Linked DNA regions of Anolis sagrei. The protein of the gene in region 2 purifies or fractionates together with the protein of the main gene of each other region. This does not show direct contact. Links are inferred from orthologs where the notes say so. Each region holds a gene or a part of one and is shown on either strand. Other genes may lie near its edges. The genes, in order: GEMIN2, DDX20 and STRAP.

Region 1 (7,307 bases), on a different chromosome or scaffold from region 2:
TGCATTTTCAGACTTGATTCTGCAAATCTAGACTCATTCCATTTGAATTGTGCAAAGTATACGTACAGTCCTTCAAAAGTATTTTAGAAACTAAACAGATGGGGTCAGGTGAACACACCCTGAAACTGTCTGATGTTAAAAATGACTATAAGCACATTCAGAAGCTTCTCACTAATGAAGTAGCTCCATTGAGAAGCTTATTAATTCTTTTCTTTTAAAAACAACTTACTGAAATATTTACAGTCTGTTTCTTTTTCAACTTCTTGGGATCTATTTGGGCCACAACAACATCAGGACAATTTGCAGCTTCAATTCTACAAAAGAAGAACAGATGTCTGAAATTTGAAATACTTAGTAATTTCAAGAGAAGTATAGCATATGTATTATACAGGAATCCCTCTACTGTCACCTACTATAACTACTCATGAATATCATCAGAATCTTGACTACTCTTTTCCCACAATTTTTTTTGCTAGGTATCACAGAGAAGATACAGTAGTGAAAACACTTTGGAAAAATGACATTTTTAATCGAAACACGTAATGGACCATGAGAAATAAATAATATATCACTGAATATCTTCAGAACCATTCCAACATACACTCTCTGACTTCATAGGTTTTTAAAAAAGACTGATAAGAAATCAATCAAGTGCTACTTTCCTCATAGTTCTTTCCATAGTAAGAAAAGTGTCATCTCTTAAAAATTGTATGCCAGCTCATTGCATTGGTAAGTACTTTCAAAGGTCTGATTTTTAGATGTTCAGGTCAACCTATTCTTTAAATTCTAGCTCTTAACATTCTTCTATCCTTGAAAACAAAACAAGATGTTAAATTCCCAAATCAAAGAGACAAAACTGGTGAATACGTTTCCTTCTTCCCACTTTCAGAATGAATATGTATTTATTTATTTAAACCTTCATTTTTCATTGGTTTTAATTACAACTTTGCATACTGCTTGGTGAGGTAAAGTTTTCAGGACAGGAAGATGTCAAGCATGAAGGATGTATTTTGCTTTCTGTTAGAACTCTAAGATCCATCAACTACAGCCATGCGCAAGATAGTGATGTGGGGAAAAATATATAACACAAAGCAAAATAACAAAGTGCCATGACACCTTAATTATTATTAACACAATTTATTTGGCATAAACTTTTGTGGATTACAGATGCATCCAATGAAATGGGTTGCTCTTCTTCACAAAAGATTATGTGAAATGTAACACTTTTGTTTTTAAGGAGCCATGTGTCTTCTTGACTGTTTTTTTCATTTTTGTTTCTAGCCAATTGGTTCATAAGGGAAGAGCACATGTACATATCCATCCTAAAAAGAAGCACACTACAGATTATTAGGAGAGCAAAATCAGGAAATTCCTTGAAATTGACAGATGCTGACAGAACGAAACTCAACTATTCATTATTCCCTCTATCTCAGTGGTCCTCAATCTGTGGGTCCCCAGATGCTTTGGCCTTCAACTCCAGATATCCTAACAGCTGATAAACCAGCTGGGATTTCTGGGAGTTGTAGGCCAAAACACCAGAAGACTTAACAGGATGAGAACCACTGCTCTAGCTGAAGTCCCATTAGCCATCTTAAGAACTGACATTGAATTGTTGACATATCAAGAGATGAAAGGAAAGTCTGAAGGTGAATAATGCATATTTAATTAGGACAGATGGACAGACTCAATTAAAGAAGCCATGAACTTGAATCTGCAAGACCTAAGCAGAGCTGCCGATAACAGGGTGGCTTGGGGAGCATCTGCACTGCAGAATCAATGCAGTTTGATACCACCAGAATTATGTTGGCTTCATGCTATGGAATCATGGAAACTGCACCTTCACAAGGTATTTAGCCTTATCTGCTAAAGACCAAACTACAACTCCCATGGGTTCCATAACATTGTCATGACATTTAAAGCAGTATCAAGTAAAGATAGGTAAAGGTTTTTCCCTGACATTAAATCCAGTTGTGTCTGACTCTGGGGTGTGGTGCTCATATCCATTTCTAAGCCAAATAGCCGGCGTTGTCCGTAAACACCTCACAGGCCATGTGGCTGGCATGACTGCAAGGAGCCGTTACCTTCCCACCAGAGCAGTACCTATTGATCTACTCACATTTTGCATGTTTTCAAACTGCTAGGTTGGCAGAAGCTGGGGCTAACAGCAGGTGCTCACGCCACTCCCCGGATTTGAACCTGCAACCTTTTGGTCAACAAGTTCAGCAGCTCAGTGCTCTAACCCACTGCACCATTGGGGCTGGTATCAAACTGTTTCAATTATGCTGTGTAGCTGTCCCTTTGGAGATCTCTCATTCACAGGGTTGCCTTAAATCGCAGTTGACTTGTTGACTTTTACAGCAATGATAAGAGTTGCCAAATTAAAAATGGGTAATGACTTCTTTGGGGGAAAGAGAGCAATTTAGCAGGTGCTGTTTTTCATGTAACCTGGTCACAAGCAACCAATGCTGAAAGTGCGCAAGAATTCTGGGATTTGTAGTTCTGCGAGCTATTTAGCCGTCTTCCAACAGGAAGCTCTGGTGCCTAATCAAACTACAAATCTACAGCATGGAGTCATGGGAGTTAAAGCCATGTCAAACTGCTATAAGTAGGCATGGGCAAACTTGGGCCTTCCAGGTGTTTTGGACTTCAACTCCCACCATTCCTAACAGCCTCAGGTCCTTTCCTTTCCCCCCTCAGCCGCTTAAGGAAAGGGCCTGAGGCTGTTAGGAATGGTGGGAGTTGAAGTCCAAAACACCTGGAAGGCCCAAGTTTGCCCATGTCTAACTGTCTCGGCGGCCTAGGCGCCCCACTTACTGGACCCGCTTTAAGTACTCCTGGGGCGTCCTGGGGGGCACTGTGGGGTCGAAATCCTCCGTGAGATCGCAGTCCCCCACTGGAAGGAGCCGAGGCATCAGTTCCTCCACCCCAGACTCCATGGCAGCCCCTGAAGCACAGTCTCCCTTGTTATTATTGTTGCTGCTGCCAAAGCTCTTCCTCCCTCAGGCCGCTCTGGAGTCTGGGGCTTATCCTACACACTCCGCCGTCAGGCAAACCGAATGCGCATGCGCACACAGCCACTCCGCGCGACAAGGCTGAAAAGCGTTCTCTTGGTGCTTTACGGCTGCCACAGGGAGAGGATGTTGTGACAGCCATTTAGCTGCTTTCCTCCTCTCCACTCCGTCCTACAACTGAGGGTTTAGTGGCAGAAATACTCTGAAGGAATTAAATAAATGGCTGAGGTAGGGAATAACGTAGTAATCTCATTTCTGAACATTTTATTGTTTACACTTTAGGGGGTATATAAGTGCAATAAAATAAATGAATATATTTTGATGGAATAGTGCTTTAGAATCATAGAATCAAAGAGTTGGAAGAGATCTCATGGGTCATCCAGTCCAACCCCCTGCCAAGAAGAAGGAATATTGCATTCAAATCACCCCTGACAGATGGCCATCCAGCCTCTGCTTAAAAGCTTCCAAAGAAGGAGCCCCCACCACACAAAATTATGTAGTACATAATTTTTCAGAAATTTGTAAAACATGTCAGTACAAATACTACATATTTATCTAGCACAGATTGAATAGCCCTTTTCTGGAAATCCCAAATGCTCCAAAACTAAAAAAATGCTTACAAAGCTGGCTAAAATAGTGACATTTTTGCCTTCTAAAGACTGTGTATAAAATTTCCTTCAGGTTACATGTATAAGGTGTATGTGAAACATCCATAAATCTCCAAGATCTCGTCTGTAGAAAAATATCCCCAAAATAAAATAAAAAAAACCAAAATCCCGAACATACCAGGTCTCAAGCATTTCAGATAAGGGATATTCAACCTATAAGGATGTTCTGAATTCTGCCTTTCAAAAATAATTATGTGGGTTTTCAATTAATACTAAAACATATTGTAGTTCTGAGAGCTATTTAGTCGTCTTCCATCAGGAAGTTCTGGTGCCCCATCAAACTACAAGTTAAACATGAGCCAACAATGTGATGTGGCGGCAAAAAAAGCCAATGGGATTTTGGCCTGCATCAATAGAAGCATAGTGTCTAGTCTAGATCTAGGGAAGTAATGCTACCCCTCTATTCCGCTTTGGTTAGACCACACCTGGAATACTGTGTCCAATTCTGGGCACCACAATTCAAGAGACATATTGACAAGCTGGAATGTGTCCAGAGGAGGGTGACTAAAATGATCAAGGGTGTGGAGAACAAACCCTATGAGGAGCGGCTTAAGGAGCTGGGCATGTTTAGACTGAAGAAGAGAAGGCTGAGAAGAGATATGATAGCCATGTATAAATATGTGAGAGGAAGCCACAGGGAGGAGGGAGCAAGCTTGTTTTCCGTTTCCCTGGACGCGGAACAATGGCTTCAAACTACAAGAAAGGAGATTCCATCTGAACATGAGGAAGAACTTCCTGACTGTGAGAGCCGTTCAGCAGTGGAACTCTCTGCCCCGGAGTGTGGTGGAGGCTCCTTCATTGGAAGCTTTTAAACAGAGGCTGGATGGCCATCTGTCAGGGGTGCTTTGAATGCAATATTCCTGCTTCTTGGCCTGGATGGCCCATGAGGTCTCGTCCAACTCTTTCATTCTATAATTGTGGGTTGTCTCTCTTAATGATAAAATTTTTAAATTTAAATATATTTTGACCTGAATTATATTTGATATTGTTGTATATTGTTGGTACTTACTTGAGGTATAGGATGTTTGCCTTTTTTGTAGGTAAAGTGGCCTGAGTTCCTTCAGGGAGAGGGTGGCCTAAGTATTATTATTATTATTATTATTATTATTATTAAAGTATATGAAATACTGCATTTTCCCCTGCTTAAGCCATATCCCTTCTGGCCTTTTTGTGCCATTGGCTGACTAGAAAAAATGGGCCCTGGACAAGCAGAAATTAGCCACCTTTCACCTACAATATATTTTCAAATTCTCAGAACAAAAGTGCAGGTGTAGCTACATCCCATTTTCAGATTTCACTCGTATTATTATGCAGTTCCCCAAAAGTATCCCAGTAGCAATGATTCTACCCCAATGTAGCTTAAAACAGCGTACTAACAAACACGAAGGAGCCCTTGGTAGCGCAGTGGGTTAAACCACTGAGCTGCTAAACTTGCTGACGGAAAGGTTGCAGGTTCGAATCCGGGGAGCGGCTTGAGCTCCTGGTTAGCCCCAGTTTCTGCCAATCTAGCAGTTCAAAAACATGCAAATGTGAGTAGATCAATAGGTACCGCTCCGGCGGGAAGGTAACGACGCTCCATGCAGTCATTCTGGCCACATGACCTTGGAGGTGTCTACGGAATACACAGGCTCTTCGGCTTAGAAATGGCGATGAGCAGCAATCCCCAGAGTCGGACACGACTGGACTTAATGTCAGGGAAGACCTTTAACCTTAATAATCATGATCTGAAAACGATCACTTTTATCTTTCTTAAAATGAAGTATTCCACAAAAATGGTAAAGTAGCCTACTCCAGTTAAAAAGTGAAATTGGTACAGAACACTGGGGGGAAGATTTCTTTTTGAATCATTTTACACTATAAAACACTTATATTTACCCTGGACGAAAATCTGAGTTCAATTTGACCTGCATCTCATATAATTATTTATTTAAGCCATTTCTTTGGTTCTTACCTCTGTGGAATATTTAGAAGCTACATAAAAACCAGTAGCAATTCATAAAAACAACTGAATTTCAGTATTTTATAAAGGACCCCTTCCCTGAGACTTATTTCAGTTATTTCACCACACATAGATATGCCTACATAACAGAGATTGTGTAAATAATTGTTTATTTGGGTCTAATTTAGAAACATGTGTACCACTGCTTCACAATTTATTTTAAAAACTTTATAAAAATAACAGATATATACACATTAGTGTTCTTCATGCCTGTTCAGTTTTGGAAAGCCTCAACATTAGTAATACTATTCAACAGACTTTCATCTTTACAGGGAAATGTTAAGCTATGCACCGCAATAAAAATAAGAGTTCACATTCAAAACACAAAATCAAGTATCATCGCTGTACTGCAGATCTAGAACAAGACTTTCTTAAAGAGAGATAATATTGGGAGTTTTTTTCCTACTCATCACTAAATATACTAAACAGAATAAAGCACTTTCACCGACACAGCGAGACCATATTTTGCATTGCATAATTCCTAACTAGCATGAGAAACTGGTTTGAATATCCTTGATTATAATGGTATCTGGCCTAAATTTGTTACTGGGGGAGGAATGAACCGAACATGCAGCTCCAGCTGTGTTCAAGCCTGCCTAATAATTACAATTGCATTTTCCAAGCTTAACCACAAAATTCATTCTTACATGACTACAAAACATTTTTGGGTTAGTTCTACACTTTCAAGAAAATGTGAACTTGATGCATAAAATCAGCAGGCTTTGACGTATTGGTGGCAGCATAATTGATGCACTGCCAATGCTTTTGAAGATAAGACTAAAATAAACAAGTTAATTACAGAATAAAACCCATGATCTGTAAGGTACAGCTTGTAATGACCTAAATGTGCACTCAATTCGGATTTGCCCAAAGTTTAAAAACATACAGTACGTCTCTATAGTAGAAATCCAGTCATTCTAGAAGGATAAATGAATACTGAAAGGTGGTAGGGGTAAATAGGGACTAAGGGGATAAATATTAATTTCAGTGACAAATATCTGAATGAACATTGACATGAAGTTAGTGAGAAACAAGATATTGGAAGAGCAGGACTAGAGTTGATCCTGTATGCCCATGCGGGATGTTTTGAACAGTGTGATTTCTCAGCCTGTATAAAGAAGAAATAAATAGTCTTGGAGCCCTGCTCTAAAATTACTTTTTATAAAAAACATATACCATGTACATACTGAAAAGTTCATATCCTGAATCATGTGTTGGGACAGTGATGACCTAGCAAAAATTGATTTTTAAAATAAAATAAACCCTGACATAATGCTTGTATTTTAAAAAATCCCATAAAGATCCAAAACCCTTGACTCCTACCTAAAAAGGAATGAATGAAGCTCACTGCTTCATAAGGGTACTGATTAAAAATATTATTGTTTGTTTTCTTTAAAAATTCAGGATTTGGGTATCCTGCCTGAAATAGTTATTTGGAATTCTTCTTCTCTTCCTCTTGATTGCGACACATAGAAGTCAGTAGATTTTGCCAAAGCCTTCAATGGAAGCATCATCAGTGGATTTGCCAAACTACCACAGCAGTCTTCAAGAAAAGGTTGCTCCCTGTAGGTAAAATGGATGTTGTTTATTGCCATCCACTCTGGGGAAGACTTGTTTGCAATGAAAAGG
Region 2 (8,092 bases):
TACACCAACCTTCTTAACAGTATGCTTACATTTCACTATGTGCGGGGGGGAAAAACAATTGCACCCATTTTGAAATAAAAACTAATCCTGAACAGATTTATGGGTGTTTAATCCCTTCTAAGTCTTTGAACTTGTTGTGGGGACCAAAACCTGCAAAATAATTTATGCAGAAGATTTAAAAATTGCTCATTACTGAAAAAAACCCCTCCTCATCCTGGTAATGCACACTTGTTCAGTAGGACCTCACACCATTTTCATAAAATAGCATGGATAATCCTCTGCTTAAGCCAGTGATGGGCAACCTTTTGAGCTTGGTGTGTCAAAATTTGCCAAAAACCTGAGCATAACTTGGGTGGAGTGTCACTTTGAGAAAAAAACCCCATAATTTTGCAATATTTATAGTTTAAATAAGAAAAATGTATAATCCATGCTGAGTTATGGAGTGAACAATGCTCAAACGTGCAGATGTTAAATTTGTAAAGCCTTTTACAAATTGAAAGATGGAATTAGATTGGCTCTTATAAAGTCTATTTCTCTGTATGTGGCCGCATGTGTCTGCGTGTCATCAAAATAGCCATGCGTGTCAATGATGACACGCATGTCATAGGTTCACCATCACGGGCTTAAGCATTGGAGGAAGGACATTATGAAGGTATGAACGGAGGATGAATGGTTTAAGTGTTTTAATGAAATAAAATGTGAAAGAAAAGAAAAACAATAGTCCATGTTATATTTCACTATATAATGTAACACCTAGAAATTAATTGGAGAAAAATGTCCATACACATGAATCAAGCTACACACATGTGGTACAATAGTTTGGACCAGACATAACCAACATGTCAGAAGCTTTTACTTTGACTTTTAGATAATCTAAAAAAACAAACAAAACCCTGGTTGTCTTAAATTGGACTTTTCCAGTCTTTTCCCCTGGAAAAACCCTTGAATGTAATTTTCAGGTCTCAATGAGCTCCTGCAAAAAGTTACATCTAAAGCTGAAAAGAGTTATATTTTACAGTCATTGAATTCTTTGTAACTTTTCTGGCAAACCATGGCTGAAAAAAAGTTTAAAATTATGATTTGGGCTGGATACACACTACCAAATAATGCAGTCTGAATTGCATTATGTGGCCACTATAGATTCATATAATGCAGTTTGAACTGCCCTTAACTGTATTATATGGGTCGACACAGGTCATATATTGATTGTGTAGATCCGGAAATGAAAATGAGTCAGGCCCATAACACAAGAATGAGATTTCCTGAGATGTCTTCATGTTGTGATAAAATAGTTCAAAGACTAACCAAATATACTAGTTAATCTAAATTCTTACCCATAAGAAATATAACGCATGTTCCTTGAGCTACTGCTCTTGCAACATTCATGTGGCTTATTTCCAAATGTTCGATCACCACACCTGATTTTGTATGCCTTCACATGCGCTTGGTTAATTTGTTACTCCTTCTCATTAATAAGAAGTGGGATTATTTTTGATGCCGAGCAACTATTTTGAATTATACTCTCCCTGCACATCAAACATCAATACTGTATAAAAGATGTATCCTATATGCAGATTGCACCCTCTTCTGGCGAGAATCAGTATTTCCAATATCTATTAACAGCCCGGAAAACTCACAGCAACCCAACAACTAAACTTGTTATGTGAATTTATTTTAACCAGTAACTAATAAGTATCATTTGCTAAGAATAGCAATTCAAAATGAAAACCTTGTGAGGTCTCCAGAGGAGGGCAATGCCATATGAGGAGTGCCTTAAATAGATGAGTATTTTTCGCCTGCAGAAGAGAAGTTTGAGAGGAGACATGATAGTCATGTATAAACATGTGAAAGGATGTCATAAGGAAGTGGGAGGAGACTTGTTTTCTGCTGCTCTGGAGACACAGCTGAATAATATCCCACACAGCTGAATAATATCCCACATTTCCTGCTTTGAACTGGAATATATGGCAGTGTAGTCTCAGAACATGGAGCAATGGGTTAAAATTAGAGGAAAGGAGATTCCACTGGAAAATTAAGAGGAATTTCATGACTGTGAGAGCTGTTCAGCAGTGGAACTGTTTTGGAGTGTGGTGGAAGCTCCGTCCTTGCAAACTTTTAAAGAGAGACTGGATGGCCATCTGTCAGGCGTACTTTGATTGTGCTTTTCCTGCATGGCAGGAGTTAAGGTGGATGGCCCATACGGTCTTTTCTAACTCTATGAGTCTAATATAGAATTTAACTAAAGAATACTGCTGACCACTATTTCAAATTACCATATCACAACAAATTTTAACCCCCCCCCCAGCAATATAATCAGAATGTTATTTCTTTTTGGAAATGCTCCTTTTTGGAAACTGTTCTCAAACTAGCCTAGAACATAATAAAAAGGACAATCAACATAGTGCCTTTCCACACAGCCATATAACCCAGAATATTAAGGCAGAATAACCCACAATATCTGCTTTGAACTGGATTGTCTGAGTCCACATTGCCATATATCCAAGTTCAAAGCAGGTAATGTGGGATTTTAATTCAGATGTGTGGAAGGAGCCATAGAAAGAGGACAAAGATTTGCTTGAGGACGCCCATTCCATTCCTATAGATTCCTATTTGAAGACAAGGGGTCCACCCACAGTGTGGAATTGATGCAATTTGACACCACTTTAAACAGACATGGGTCAGTGCTATGGAATCCTGGGAATTGTAATTTGGGGAGGAGAAGGTTAAAGACCTTGTCAAACTACAACTCCCTTGATTCCATAGCATTGAGCCTTGGCAGTTGGTGGTGCCAAAACCGCATTGATTCTACAGTGTAGAAGAATTGAAAGATTTATATCCATGGATTTATTCCAAATAGATGTGTTGTTCTAATTCACCATTATTACTATCATCATCATCATCATCATCATCATCATTATAGGAACTCAAGGCAGCTAATAATTTAGAAACAAATACCACCCCCCTCCCCCCGCACACAATTAGATATACGAGGGTTCAATGAAATATAATGCCTCCACCTTCGCAACTCAACAGATGGCAGTACTGGTATGCGGCAGGTACTGGCTTGTTCATTAGGCTCTCCTTGACAGTTCCATTTTGGTGGGAAGCCTTAACATTGAACAGTTGTGTTATTAAAGTGTGAAGAATGGAACCCTGCGCAGATGGTCGGTCAATGCGACTTAAGCAATGTGTAGTCATTGAATTCTTGACAGCAGAAAGTGTCACCCCAAAGGAGATTCATCAAATAATGCAAGCTGTTTATGGTGATTGTGTTGATGTGAGTACTGTGCATCATTGGGCGAGAAAGTTTAAAGGTAATGAGGTGGGAAAATCTGACTTGCGTGACAAACAAAGAGCTGGACGTCCTGTGACAGCAACCATTGAGTTTCACAAGCAAATGGTTGACAGATTGATTCAGGATGATCGTTGTATAACTCAGAGAGAAATTTCAAGCATAATCGGAATTCACAAGAACGTGTGGGTCACATTATTGCTTTGCTTGGCTATTGAAAAATCTGTGCACGATGGGTACCCAGAATGCTGATGCCTGAAATGAAAATGCACAGACTCGAAACTTCAGAGGCTGGATCTCACCACCGTATGGCATCCTCCACACAGTCCAGATTTAATGTATTGTCGAAGGTTTTCATGGCCAGAATCAATGGGTTGTTGTAGGTTTTTTCGGGCTATATGGCCATGTTCTAGAGGCATTCTCTCCTGATGTTTCGCCTGCATCTATGGCAAGCATAAATCTGGTGGAACTAGGAAAACTGGGTTTATATATCTGTGGAATGACCAGGGTGGGACAAGCTCCAGCAGAGAAAAGTCCTTTGTCCCACCCTGGTCATTCCACAGATATATAAACCCTTTTTCCTAGTTCCAACAGACCTCACTACCTCTGAGGCGAAACGTCAGGAGAGAATGCCTCTAGAACATGGCCATATAGCCCGAAAAAACCTACAACAACCCAGTCCAGATTTAGCCCTGTCTGACTTCTATCCTGTTCCCGATAATGAAAGATCTGCAGGAACATCATTATGCTTCTGATGAAGACATTGAGAGAACTGTGAGGCGCTGGTTGCGCAAACAGAGTGTCGACTTCTTCTGTGACGGCTTCAGAAAACTTGTTCATCGTTGGCAGAAATGTATCCAATTGTCTGGTGATTATGTGGAAAAGTGAATAGTGGTAGTTAAAGAGCACATTCTAAGGATTATTTCTGTATTTTCGAAAGCTTTCATGGCGAGAATCACTGGGTTGTTGTAGGTTTTTTCGGGCTATATGGCCATATTCTAGAGGCATTCTCTCCTGACATTTTGCCTGCATCTATGGCAAGCATCCTCAGAGGTCTGTTGGAACTAGGAAAAAGGGTTTATATATCTGTGGAATGACCAGGGTGGGACAGTGAATGTTTCAACTGACCACCTTGATTAGCATACAATGGTCTGACTGTGCCTGGGGCAATCTTTTGTTGAGAGGTGATTAGAGGTCCCAGATTGTTTCCTCTCTGTTGTTTTGCTGTTGTAATTTTAGAGGGTTTTTAAAATACTGGTAGCCAGATTTTGTTAATTTTTTCTGTGTTTGATTTATTAAAATATTCCCCTCCAAACCCAAGTAATGAAGGTGGAGGCTTTACTTTTCAGTCAACCCTCGTATGTGCGTCATTCATTCAAAAAGGAAATGTCACGGATTACTAGAGACTTTGCACAGTATCTGTCAGGATTACAGCCCCAAGGATGATAAATATACAGATAACAATAAGCTATTATGACACATGCTTCCTATTCTCTCAACTGTGCAGTTCAGTAAGCCCAAGTTTGAACGAGATTGAACTACGCCCCTCCCCTTCAGCTTGCCCAATGGTTTCTCCCACCTTCTGAATCTTTGTCCAATCAGGCTCCATCGTTTACTCCCTCCCCTCCCTTTGGGCGCCAAAGTGCTATTCCTCCTCCTTCCACCCCTCCTCTCTCAAATGGTTTGTTCTCATTCGCTGGCGTTCGCCGCGCGGGACGATGCAGAGGTGGGGAGAACCTGCTCTCATTCTAGTCCGGACTTCTCGCGAGATTTGCGGCAGCATTCTGTCCAAGATGGCGGCTGTGGAAGCATCTCACGCTGAGGGCTGGCTTCGTACCCGGGACGTTCACTTGCAAGAAGGGCCCGAAGACTTCAGCTCGCTGCTGCTGTCCCCGCTGGTGCTGGAAGGACTGAAGGCTGCCGGGTTTCTGAGGCCTTCTCCCGTGCAGCTGAAAGCCATCCCTCTCGGGAGATGTGGTTTAGGTGAGGGGAGGACGTTGTGGCTCTTAGGCTGCATTTAGATCAGGTATAGGCAAGCTTTGGCCCTCCAGGTGTTTTGGACTTCAACTCCCACAATTCCTAACAGCCGGTAGGCTGTTAGGAATTGTGGGAGTTGAAGTCCAAAACACCTGGAGGGCCAAAGCTTGCCCATACCTGATCTAGACTAGATTCAATGCAGTTTGGCATCACAGCCATGGCTTAGTGCTATGGGGTCCAGGGAGTTGTAGTTTGGCGAGGCACCAGCATTTTTGTTGGCATAGGGAGCTAAAGACCATGTAAAACGAAAATATTCATGACTAGCCGTCCCCTGCCACGCGTTGCTGTGGCCCACATGGGGATTCTGTGTGGGAGGTTTGGCCCAATTCTGTCGTTGGTGGGGTTCAGAATGCTCTGTGATTGTAGGTGAACTATTAATCCCAGCAACTACAACTCCCAAATGTCAAGATTCTATTTTCCCCAAAGTTCACCAGTGTTCATATTTGGGCATATTGAGTATTTGTGTGGAGTTTGATCCAGATTCATCATTGTTTGAGTCCACAGTGCTCTCTGGATGTAGGTGAACGACAACTCCAAAACCAAAGGACACTGCCCACCAAACCCTTCCAGTATTTTCTGTTGGTCATGGGAGTTCTGTTTGCCGAATTTGGTTCAATTCCATCGTTGGTGGGGTTCAGAATGCTCTTTGATTGTAGGTGACGATAAATCCCAGCAACTACAACTCCCAAATGACAAAATTATTTTTTTTGAGTGAAGGGCATACATTGGGTTGTTAGGTGTCTTGTGTCCAAATTTGGTGTCAATTCGTCCAGTGGTTTTTGAGTTCTGTTAATCCCACAAATGAACATTACATTTTTATTTATATAGATTCCATAGTATTGAGCCATGGTAGTTAAATGGTGACAAACTGCTTTAAGTCTACAGTGTAGAAGAGGTGCGTCCTTAGTTTGTTTTGGGGTTTTTTGCGTCTTATTTATTATTTATTTATTTCCTATATTTATATCCCACCCTTCCGAGGGCGGCTTCACAAAGCATCATATGGTGTCATCATCATAAAACAATCAACAGTACATTAAACATATTGAAAAATATGAAAAACATTAGTTAAAACAATTAATTAACACACGCCTATTAAAAATTGGAGTCCAAAATCCAGTCTGGGTCAAATCATTGCCGTAAGTGTTAAAATCTCCTTTTACTTGTTGCTCACTGATCAACCGCTTGGTCCTATAGCCAGGTCTTGATTTTCCTTCTAACAGACAAAAGGGATGTGGCCACTCTGATATCTCTGGGGAGAGCTTTCCACAGGCAGGGGGCCACTGCTGAGAAGGCTCTGTCCCTCATCCTCACCAGTTGCGTTTGCGATGTCGGTGGGATTGAGAGCAGGTCCTCCCTACTCTCTTGTCTGTGCTTTGCTATTTTTTTTCTGCTCAGACTGGGGAAACTCAAGAAGTCTTGTCAAAGGCTTTCCTACCCAGAATCACTGGGTTGATTTTCGGCTGTATGGCCATGTTCCAGAAGCATTCTCTCCTGACATTATGCCTGCCATAGATGCAGGCAGAATGTCAGGAAATAATGCTTCAGAAACATGGCCATACACCCAAAAAACTTATAGCAACCTTAAGAAGTCTTCTCGTTAAGGCTCTGGTTGCTTCATTTGTAACAAAATAAAATTAAAATTTAAGAAAAGTTTAAATTGTAATTAATTTCTAAATTGAATGGATTCTTCATTTACTGTCAGAAACGAGATCAAGACATGAACTTTTGTATTGCAGAAAAGGACATTTCAGAGGAATGAAGCTTAGTGGGATTGGTGGTTTTATTTAGCTTTTGGAGGTTGCCAAACACATGGGATGCATCTACACTATAGAATTAATGCACTTTGACAACCACTTTAACTGCTATGGCTTAGTGCTATGGAATCAGGAGAGTGGTTTGGTGGAGAAGACATTGAGCCATGCCAGTTGAAGCGTTAGACTGCATCAGTTCTATAGTTTTAAATGCATCTATGGTTATTCAAGTGTTGGGGTTTCCCAAAGGGTCCCCATCATGTTTTTGAACTGTAGCTCCCATAATCTGTCATTCTCCATGACTTAGCCAAAAGTCAACTGGTAACTTAATGGCAAATATACACACCCCTGAGTCCTAGTCACAGTACTTCTGCTGTAATGACAACTTAACCTATTATTATCTTTATTGTTGTTCTTGTTGTTATTATATTTATTGATACCCTGCTTTATCTCTCCTGAAGGAGACTCAAAGCAGTTTAACATAAAAGCATTAACATACAATTAAAATATACAAATATGCAAACATTTAAACAGAATTAAACCTAACAGTATTAAAAATTCACAGTTAAAATCCATTAGAACATATTCAAAGTTAAAAACCACAGCAGCCTCTTTAAAAGCCTGTCTGAATAAAAAGGTTTTAACCTGCTGCCAGAAGAGCAGCAGGGAGTGGGCCATTCTGGCTTCCCTGGGCAAGGAGTTCCAGAGTCGTGGAGCAGCCACATGTTCCCACCAACCAAGCTTGAGATGGAGGTGGGGCCGAGAGAGGGACCTCTCCTAAACATCTCAAGGCAGGGCAGGCTTGTACAAGGGGATGTGGTCAGCCAAATAGCCTGTACCTGAAACGTCTCAGGCTTTAAAGGTCATAAACAGCATTTTGAATTGTGCCCGGAAACAGACTGTCAGCCGGTGAAGCTGCTGAAACAGGGGGTTTAATAAATTTGTTATGGTTTAAGAAGGTTAGATGTTTTTGTTGTATAAGTATAATATGTCTGCTTCTCCGAAAACAAAT
Region 3 (8,075 bases), on a different chromosome or scaffold from region 2:
ACCTCCATGTCCACTGATGACACCCTTCTGAATTTTATTACTATGTTAATAGTGTTTTATGCTTTAATTATATTGTTTTGAAAGTTTGATTTGATTGTATGTTTACTATTACTACATTGTGTTTCTTCTATTATAAGCCACGAGTCCTTTTGGGGAGAGAGGGCGGGATATAAATAAAGCTTCTTCTTATTATTATTATTAAAGTAAGTATTTTATACATGTTGTTCATAACCATAGGCAAAAACTAGTGGTTGTCATATCTGGAGTAGAGCTGTTGTAACACATGTAACTTAGTTATGAATGACCATGGCTCATTTCTAACCAGACATATCAGATATTTTAAGCAGACAAAGGGGCAAATGAATTGGGGATTTATAAGCAACAATCCAGCACTGTTGTTTGTGGGGATGAGGGAGAGGGCCTTCTCGGTGGTGGTCCTCCGGCTTTATTTATTTACAGCATTTTTGCCCCACCCTTCTCAACCCCCGGAAGGGGACTCAGGAGATTAGACTGGCACCCAATCTGTCCACCTTCCGTAAAGACCTTAAAACCTGGATGTTCCAATGTGTGTTTGAGAATGATTAGGCCCCTGTCCATGAACGCCCAGCCTCAATTGTCCATTAGAGTGAACTCAGCACTTTTCCACAGCCCTGGCCCTATAATCTGCTATTTGTACAAGTCCATGTCCAGCACTCGCTAATTTTTGATCCTGCCCATCTTATTCCTGGTTCTGGTTAGTGACATTTGTTTTGATTCAGTTCATAGTTGTTTTTAAATATTTAATTGAATTATTAAGTTTATTATGTTTTAAATGTATTTTTAGTGATAAACCCTGTTGTGTTGGGTTTCGTCCCACTAGTAAGCCGCTCCCTTTGTGGAGATGGTGGAAGGATATAAAAAATAAAGTTGTTATGACGATTTTTATTATTAGTTAGCAGGAATACACCCTGTAAAAAGTGGTTCCTCCATAGTTGTTGTTTTGTTCAATTTTTCTGCAATTTAACAGTTCGAACCCAACTTACTTAGCTGACCGCATCTTCTCCTATGAAACTACATGTGCCCTGAGGTTCTCGGGAGAGATCCTGCTCTCGGTCCTGCCTCTGTCTCAAGTGCAATTGGTGGGAACAAGAGAGTGGGCCTTTTCAGAGGTGTACCCAAGACTCTGGAACTCTTTTCCTAAAGAGGTTAGAATGTCTCCCTCCTTGCTTTCATTTAGGGATCTAAATTTCTATGGAAGCAGATCTTCCCTGAAGGAGAGGGATATTGAAAACAACAGATTCATCTGTGCAATGTATACATTTTAATGAACTTCCGGCAATGGACTTGACTACAGCATAGGAATGGATATCAGGTGTGGTTTTTTTTAAAAAACTTTTTTGAATGTTTAAACTGTGTCATGTTATCTATTTACTATGTATTTATATTTTTATTAGACATGTTTGCGGTGTGATGATAATGCTTATTTTTATCTCTATCTGTATATATAGAGATATAGCGGGCCTTGGCCTTTGTAAGCTGCACCGAGTCATTCGGGAGATGTTAGCAGGGTACAAATAAAGTTAATAATAACAATAATAATAATAATAATGCTTTGAAATGTTTTTTGTTACATGTTTGAGTCCCAATTGGGAGAAAAGCAGGATAGAAAATAATAATAATAATAATAATAATAATAATAATTTGCATTTTCCTGACTTGTTCTTATTGTTTGTAGTTTGAAACCATTGTAGTTTGAAATCACTGAATCAGCAATATGTCCTCAGATTGCACTTTAACTATTGGATTGGGTTGGATTGCGCTCCCCTCACCTTACCAGATATATCTTACCTTGTTCATGCCCAGTGTTTATTTTTTAAATTTTAAACTATTGCATTTGGCCCGACCATAGGTTTTTAAATCCTTGTGTGTTATTGCTTATTGTTTATATGCTATTTATATTAATTGTATACTATTGTATTGTTTTTGTGTATTGCTTTCTTGTATTGATGTGTTGTTGAGCTTGGCCTCATGTAAGCCACCCCGAGTCCCTTGGGGATTTGGTGGTGGGGTATAAATAAAGTTTTCTTATTGTTGTTGTTTTCCTATTTATGTAGCACTTAGGGCAGGCATGGGCAAACGTTGGCCCCTCCGGGTGTTTTCAACTTCAACTCCCACAATTCCTAACAGCGAGCTGTTAAAAATTGTGGGAGTTGAAGTCCAAAACACCCGAAGGACCCAAGTTAGCCCATGTCTGATCTACACAGCATAATGAATACAGAATACAGCAGAATGAATGAATACAGCGGAATGAATGAAGGCTCAGCCAGGCCTTCAAATGCTAATGAAGGTGGTCAGTTGAAACATTCACACTTAGCTCCAGCAGAGAAGAGCTCTTTGCCCCACCCCAGCCATTCCACAGATATATAAACCATTGTCCTAATGCCAACAGACCTCACTACCTCTGAGGATGCGTGCCATAGATGCAGGCGAAACATCAGGAGAAATGCCTCTAGAACATGGCCCTATAGCCCGAAAAAACCCACAGGAACCTAGTGATTCCAGCCATGAAAGCCTTCGACAATACATGGAATGAATACAACTTGGCATCATTTTTGCTGTCATGGCTCAACGCTAAGGAGTCATGGGAGTTGTAGTTTGGTGAGGCACCAGCACTAAAAGCCTTGAGAAACCACAAAACCCCAGAATCCTATATTATTGAGTCATGGCAGTTGAAGTGGTGTCAAACTGCCTTCAGGAGCTCCCCCACACCCCCAGGAGGCTCACCTTTGCAAGCACTGATGAGGAAGTAGCCGTAGGGGGTGATGCCGCTGAAGGCCAAGTCCACCACAGGCCGCGTGTGGCCCGAGCACGTCAGCGGCGTCTGTCGCATCGCCATGGCGGCCGAAGGAAGGGAAGCAGAGGGTGGACGAAGAAGGGAAGCGGCGGGGTCTGGAGGAGGAAAGAGGCCGCTGAGAGAGGCAGAGGAAGGCGACCCTCGCTGGCTCCCTCAAAGCCACGGGAAAGGCCGAGCCGCTGACGACGAGAGGGAGACGACGGCACGCCGGCAACGGAAGTGAACTCAGGAGGGGAGAAAAATGGCCGTCGCCGGAAGTGCTGAGCCGCCGCCGCCGCCTAGGAAACCATAGAGCCGCTTCCGGTTTCCTGTCCCGGGAGGGGAGAGGCATGGAAAGCTTATTCTTAAAGGGCTGCAGAGCGGAAGTGACGTCATCGCCAAGCTCTTCATAGAATCCTAGAGTTGGAAGAGACCTCATGGGTTATCCAGTCCAGCCCCCTGCCTAGAAAGAGGAATATTGGCGGGGACGAGGGAGAGGGCCTTCTCGGTGGTGGCCCCCCGGCTGTGGAACACTCTCCCGGCACACATCAGACAGGCGCCCTCCCTCATGTCCTTTCGAAAAAGCCTTAAGACCTGGCTGTTCGAGAGGGCATTTAATTAAGTGCTAAGCAACAACATTACGGTAATGAGAACTGGAATGGTATAAGGAAGATGAGACTGGCTATGATTCTACTAAGAGACGAAGCGGATTTTTATGTAGTTTGTATTTGTCGTATAGTTATATGTTGTTGATACTGGCCTTTGTAACTGTCTTTTTATGTGTACTGTACACCGCCATGAGTCGCCCGTAAGGGCTGAGAATGGCGGTTAATAAGTGCATCAAATAAATAAATAAATAAATAAATAAAGCACCCCCGACAGATGGCCATCCAGCCTCTCATGGCTAGAATCACTAGGGTCTTGTGGGTTTTTTCGGGCTATAGGGCCATGTTCTAGAGGCATTTTCTCCTGACGTTTCGCCTGCATCTATGGCAAGCATCCTCAGAGGTAGTGAGGTCTGTTGGAATTAGGACATATATCTGTGGAATGGCTGGGGTGGGGCAAAGAGCGCTTCTCTGCTGGAGCTAGGTGTGAATGTTTCAGCTGATCACCTTCATTAGCATTTGAAGTCTTGGCTGAGCCTGGGAAAATACCCTGTTGAGAGGTGTTAAGATGTGCCTGGTTGTTTCCTCTCTGCTGTTTTGCTGTAGTAATTTTAGAGTTTTTTAATACTGGTAGCCAGATTTTGTTCCTTTTCATGGTTTCTTCCTTTCTGTTGAAATTGTCCACATGCTTGTGGATTTCAGTGGCTTCTCTGTGTAGTCTGACATGGTGGTTGTTGGAGTGGTCCAGCATTTCTGTGTTCTCAAATAATATGCTGTGTCCAGGCTGGTTCATCTGGTGCTCTGCTATGGCTGACTTCTCTGGTTGAAGTAATCTGCAGTGCCTTTCATGTTCCTTGATGCATGTCTGGGCGCTGCGTTTGGTGGTCCCTATGTAGACTTGTCCACAGCTGCATGGTATACGGTAGACTCCTGCAGAGGTGAGAGGATCCCTCTTGTCCTTTGCTGAACGTAGCATTTGTTGGATTTTCTTGGTGGGTTTGTAGATTGTTTGTATGTTGTGTTTCCTCATCAGCTTTCCTATGCGATCAGTGGTTCCCTTGATGTATGGCAGGAACACTTTTCCTCTGGGTGGATCTTCATCTTTACTCTTGTGGCTTGTTCTTGGTCTTGCAGCTCTTCTGATGTCTGAGGTGGAGTCTCCATTGGCCTGGAGAGCCCAGTTGAGGTGGTTCAGTTCATCTTGGAGGAGGTGGGGTTCGCAGATTTTTTTTGCACGGTCTGCCAAGGCTTTAATGGTGTTTCTTTTTTGACTTGGGTGATGGTTGGAGTTTTTATATAGATATCTATCTGTGTGTGTGGGTTTTCTGTAGACGGTGTGACCCAATTGTTGATCTGGTCTGCGGATGACTAGGACATCTAGAAAAGGCAGTCTTCCTTCATTTTCTTTTTCCATGGTGAACTGGATGTTTGGGTGGATGCTGTTAAGATGGTCCAGGAACCTGTTGAGTTCTTTTTCTCCATGGCTCCAAATGGTGAAGGTGTCATCCACATATCTGAACCATATCGTGGGCTTTTTGGTTGCTGTTTCCAGGGCTTGTTCTTCAAAGTGTTCCATGTAGACGTTAGCTATGACTGCCTTGTCTGGCAGTGCCTGGAGCAATCTTTTGCTGAGAGATTATTAGATGTCCTTGTTTGTTTCCTCTCTGTTGTTGTGCTGTTCTAATTTTAGAGTTTTTTAATACTGGTAGCCAGATTTTGTTCATCTTCATGGTTTCCTCCTTTCTGCTGAAATTGTCCACATGCTTGTGGATTTCAGTGGCTTCTCTGTGTAGCCTGGCATGGTGGTTGTGAGAGTGGTCCAGCATTTCCGTGTTCTCAAATAATATGCTGTGTCCAGGCTGGTTCATCAGGTGCTCTGCTATGGCTGACTTCTCTGGTTGAAGTAGTCTACAGTAGGGATCTTGTTAGGCCGCTCCGTCGTTTCTGAGGCAACAAAATCTGAGGAGAGATGCAGCCTTGCTTTTTTTAAAAAAGACTCGAGGTGCCAAACTGCATTCAATCTACAGTGTAGATCAGGCACGGGAACACTTCGTCCTTCCAGGTTTCTTTGGACTTATTTATTTTATTTATTTATTTAGTACATTTCTATACCGCCCCTCTCAGCCTTCCGGCGACTCAAGGCGATTTACAAGGCAATTCATTGCCACCAAGGACACAATTACAATATCTATATATTAAAAAATGCTCTGTGCATAATGTGTACCTTAAAAACAAAAGAACCAATGAACGAAATCACACCAAATTTGGCAACAAAATGTCTCACAACACAAGGAGTGACCATCACTCAAAAAATAATGCTTTTGTCATTTGGGAGTTGCAGTTATTTATTTATTATTTATTTATTATTATTTACTTTGCTTATATACCGCTGTTCTCAGCCTGGGGTCGACTCACAGCGGTGTACAACATAGAAAGAACAAGGTTTAAAAGTCAAGACGCAATCTAAAATATCAATCTAGCAATAACCAAAGACATCATCATCAAAAACATCAACAATATCAATAATACAAAAAGCCATTCATGTCGTCTCATCGTTTAAACCACAATCCAGTATCATTTTCCGTTGTTCCATTCCTGTCGTCATTACCAATTATTGCACTTCTTGTTCGAACACTTTCTTGAACAGCCAAGTTTTTAATTTCCTGCGGAATATCATCAGGGAAGGAGCCAGTCTGATGTCCACGGGAAGGGTGTTCCACAGCCAAGGAGCCACCACCGAGAAGGCCCTGTCTCTCGTCCCCGCCAGGCGGGATCGAGAGCAGGGCCTCCCCGGATGATCTCAAAGTCCTGGTGGGCTCGTAGGCCGAGATGCGGTCAGATAGGTATCTTGGGCCGGAACCGTTTAGGGCTTTATAGGCCAACGCCAGCACCTTGAATTGAGCCCGGTAGCAAATCGGAAGCCAGTGGAGCTGGTACAACAAGGGCGTTGTATGCTCCCTGCGTCCCGCTCCTGTTAGTAACATGGCTGCCGCACGTTGGACCAATTGAAGCTTCCGGGCTGTCTTCAAGGGCAACCCCACATAGAGAGCGTTGCAGTAGTCTAAACGGGATGTTTAGACTACTTGAACCCTACCAATGATAGAAATGGGCCAAACTTCCCACACAGAACCCCCATGACCAATAGAAAATACTGGAGGGATTTGGGAGGAATTGACAATAATTTAAGGGAGAGCACGCCTGCTCTCCCCTCTCCCCTTGGAGTCACGGAAACAGCCCTCCCCTTGGCTGAGAAGCCAGCCAATCACAGCAGGAGGAGGGCTTTTGGTGGGAAGAAAAAGGAAGAGAAGGACAGACTGAGAGATCTTCTGCCTTCTCTGCCAAAGAGCTTCCTAAGACCATCAAACAAAATGTTTTCTGATGGTCTCTGGCGACCCCTCTGAAACACCCCCCCTGTGGTCCCAACCCCCAGGTTGAGAAACACTGCTGTACACAGTAGGTTGTTAGGAATTATGAGAACTGATGTCCAAGACACCTGGAGGGCCGGAGTTTGTACATGCCTGATCTACACTGTAGATTGAATGCAGTTTGGCAACACTTCAACTGCTATGGAATCATGGGAGCTGTAGTTTTAAAAAGGTCCGTAGCCTTCTCTGCCAGAGAATGCTGGGGCCTCACCAAGCTACAACTCCCAGGATTCCCTAGCATTGTGAAAGTGCTGTCAAACTTTCACAATGCTAGGGATGCACTCATAGTCAATCTTCAATTGAGGTGCAACCACATCTGGAAGGCCATAAGGTGGCAGAAACCTGTCTATTGATTATGTATTCTGTCAAAAATGTTAAATGCTTAATAATGCCAGGTTCACCAGTCTAACCCTCTATAAAGAGGCCCTTATTTGAAGAATTGGGGACTGGACCGGACTGAATCAATTGAAAAATGGGACACTCTCAGTATGTTTCTAGCTTGCAGATATAAGACTGAGCACTAGATGGCACTACAAAAGAGTGAAAGCGGCTCAAACCATCTCAAACTAGCAGAAGCAATGGTCAAAAGAGTAAACCAGGCCTGGGCAAACTTCGACATAGTGTTTTGGACTTCAAGTTCCACAATTCCTAACAGCCGGTAGGCTATTAGGAACTGTGGTAGTTGAGATTCAAAAAACTTGGAGATCCAAAGCATGCCCTGGTATAAATGTGCCTTAGCAAAAACATTTGGCAAGAGGCAGCAACCATCAGTCTGTGACTACATTCCTGGGGAAATTAACTTGAAAGCACGTTTTGCTGAAATCAAAGCGGCATACATGCTTAGGCACAGTCACACATTATGCAGACCTATAATCAGAAGTAGATGTCTATAAGGATCCTGTAACAATAGCAATACCTTTGCTGGCAGCTGACCCATTATACAACCTCTGCCATATCCTCATTTAAGAATAGTTCCTTGTGCATCAATACCCTGAGTTCTATACAATTGTCATTCACATCAATGAATTCTGCTCAATTTGCAAAAACCAACGGAAGCAAGGTGTGGGGGATACTGGAAGAAGTGTTGTGCACCCAAAGAGAGCAGATTAAAGCAGCAAAATTGAAAATGTCACAGTTAGATAGCTCCAGGTCATCGCTCTTCCTTCCCTGGGCCTCCTAAAAATGACTTGGAAAGCTGCAAGAAGAGAAAGTGCACCCCTGCCTGCATTGCCT

What was found.
Region 1: the proteins of DDX20 (region 2) and GEMIN2 purify together in Homo sapiens (affinity purification with mass spectrometry; 6 studies listed by BioGRID and IntAct, counting the BioPlex papers as one, with this or other methods). This does not show direct contact. The link is inferred for Anolis sagrei from reciprocal best matches to the Homo sapiens genes DDX20 and GEMIN2.
Region 3: the proteins of DDX20 (region 2) and STRAP purify together in Homo sapiens (affinity purification with mass spectrometry; 3 studies listed by BioGRID and IntAct, counting the BioPlex papers as one, with this or other methods). This does not show direct contact. The link is inferred for Anolis sagrei from reciprocal best matches to the Homo sapiens genes DDX20 and STRAP.

The regions. Positions count from the first base shown.
Region 1 is NC_090021.1:303,554,821-303,562,127, reverse strand, and holds the start of GEMIN2 (gem-associated protein 2), read right to left. Parts: upstream 3,067-7,307; 5' UTR 2,937-3,066; coding exon 2,815-2,936; intron 315-2,814; coding exon 230-314; intron 1-229. Other genes in the region: PROSER1 (proline and serine-rich protein 1), read right to left, coding at 7,264-7,307. UniProt on the Homo sapiens protein: The SMN complex catalyzes the assembly of small nuclear ribonucleoproteins (snRNPs), the building blocks of the spliceosome, and thereby plays an important role in the splicing of cellular pre-mRNAs.
Region 2 is NC_090024.1:199,508,531-199,516,622, forward strand, and holds the start of DDX20 (probable ATP-dependent RNA helicase DDX20), read left to right. Parts: upstream 1-4,995; 5' UTR 4,996-5,010; coding exon 5,011-5,275; intron 5,276-8,092.
Region 3 is NC_090025.1:181,634,991-181,643,065, reverse strand, and holds the start of STRAP (serine-threonine kinase receptor-associated protein), read right to left. Parts: upstream 3,078-8,075; 5' UTR 2,876-3,077; coding exon 2,764-2,875; intron 1-2,763. UniProt on the Homo sapiens protein: The SMN complex catalyzes the assembly of small nuclear ribonucleoproteins (snRNPs), the building blocks of the spliceosome, and thereby plays an important role in the splicing of cellular pre-mRNAs.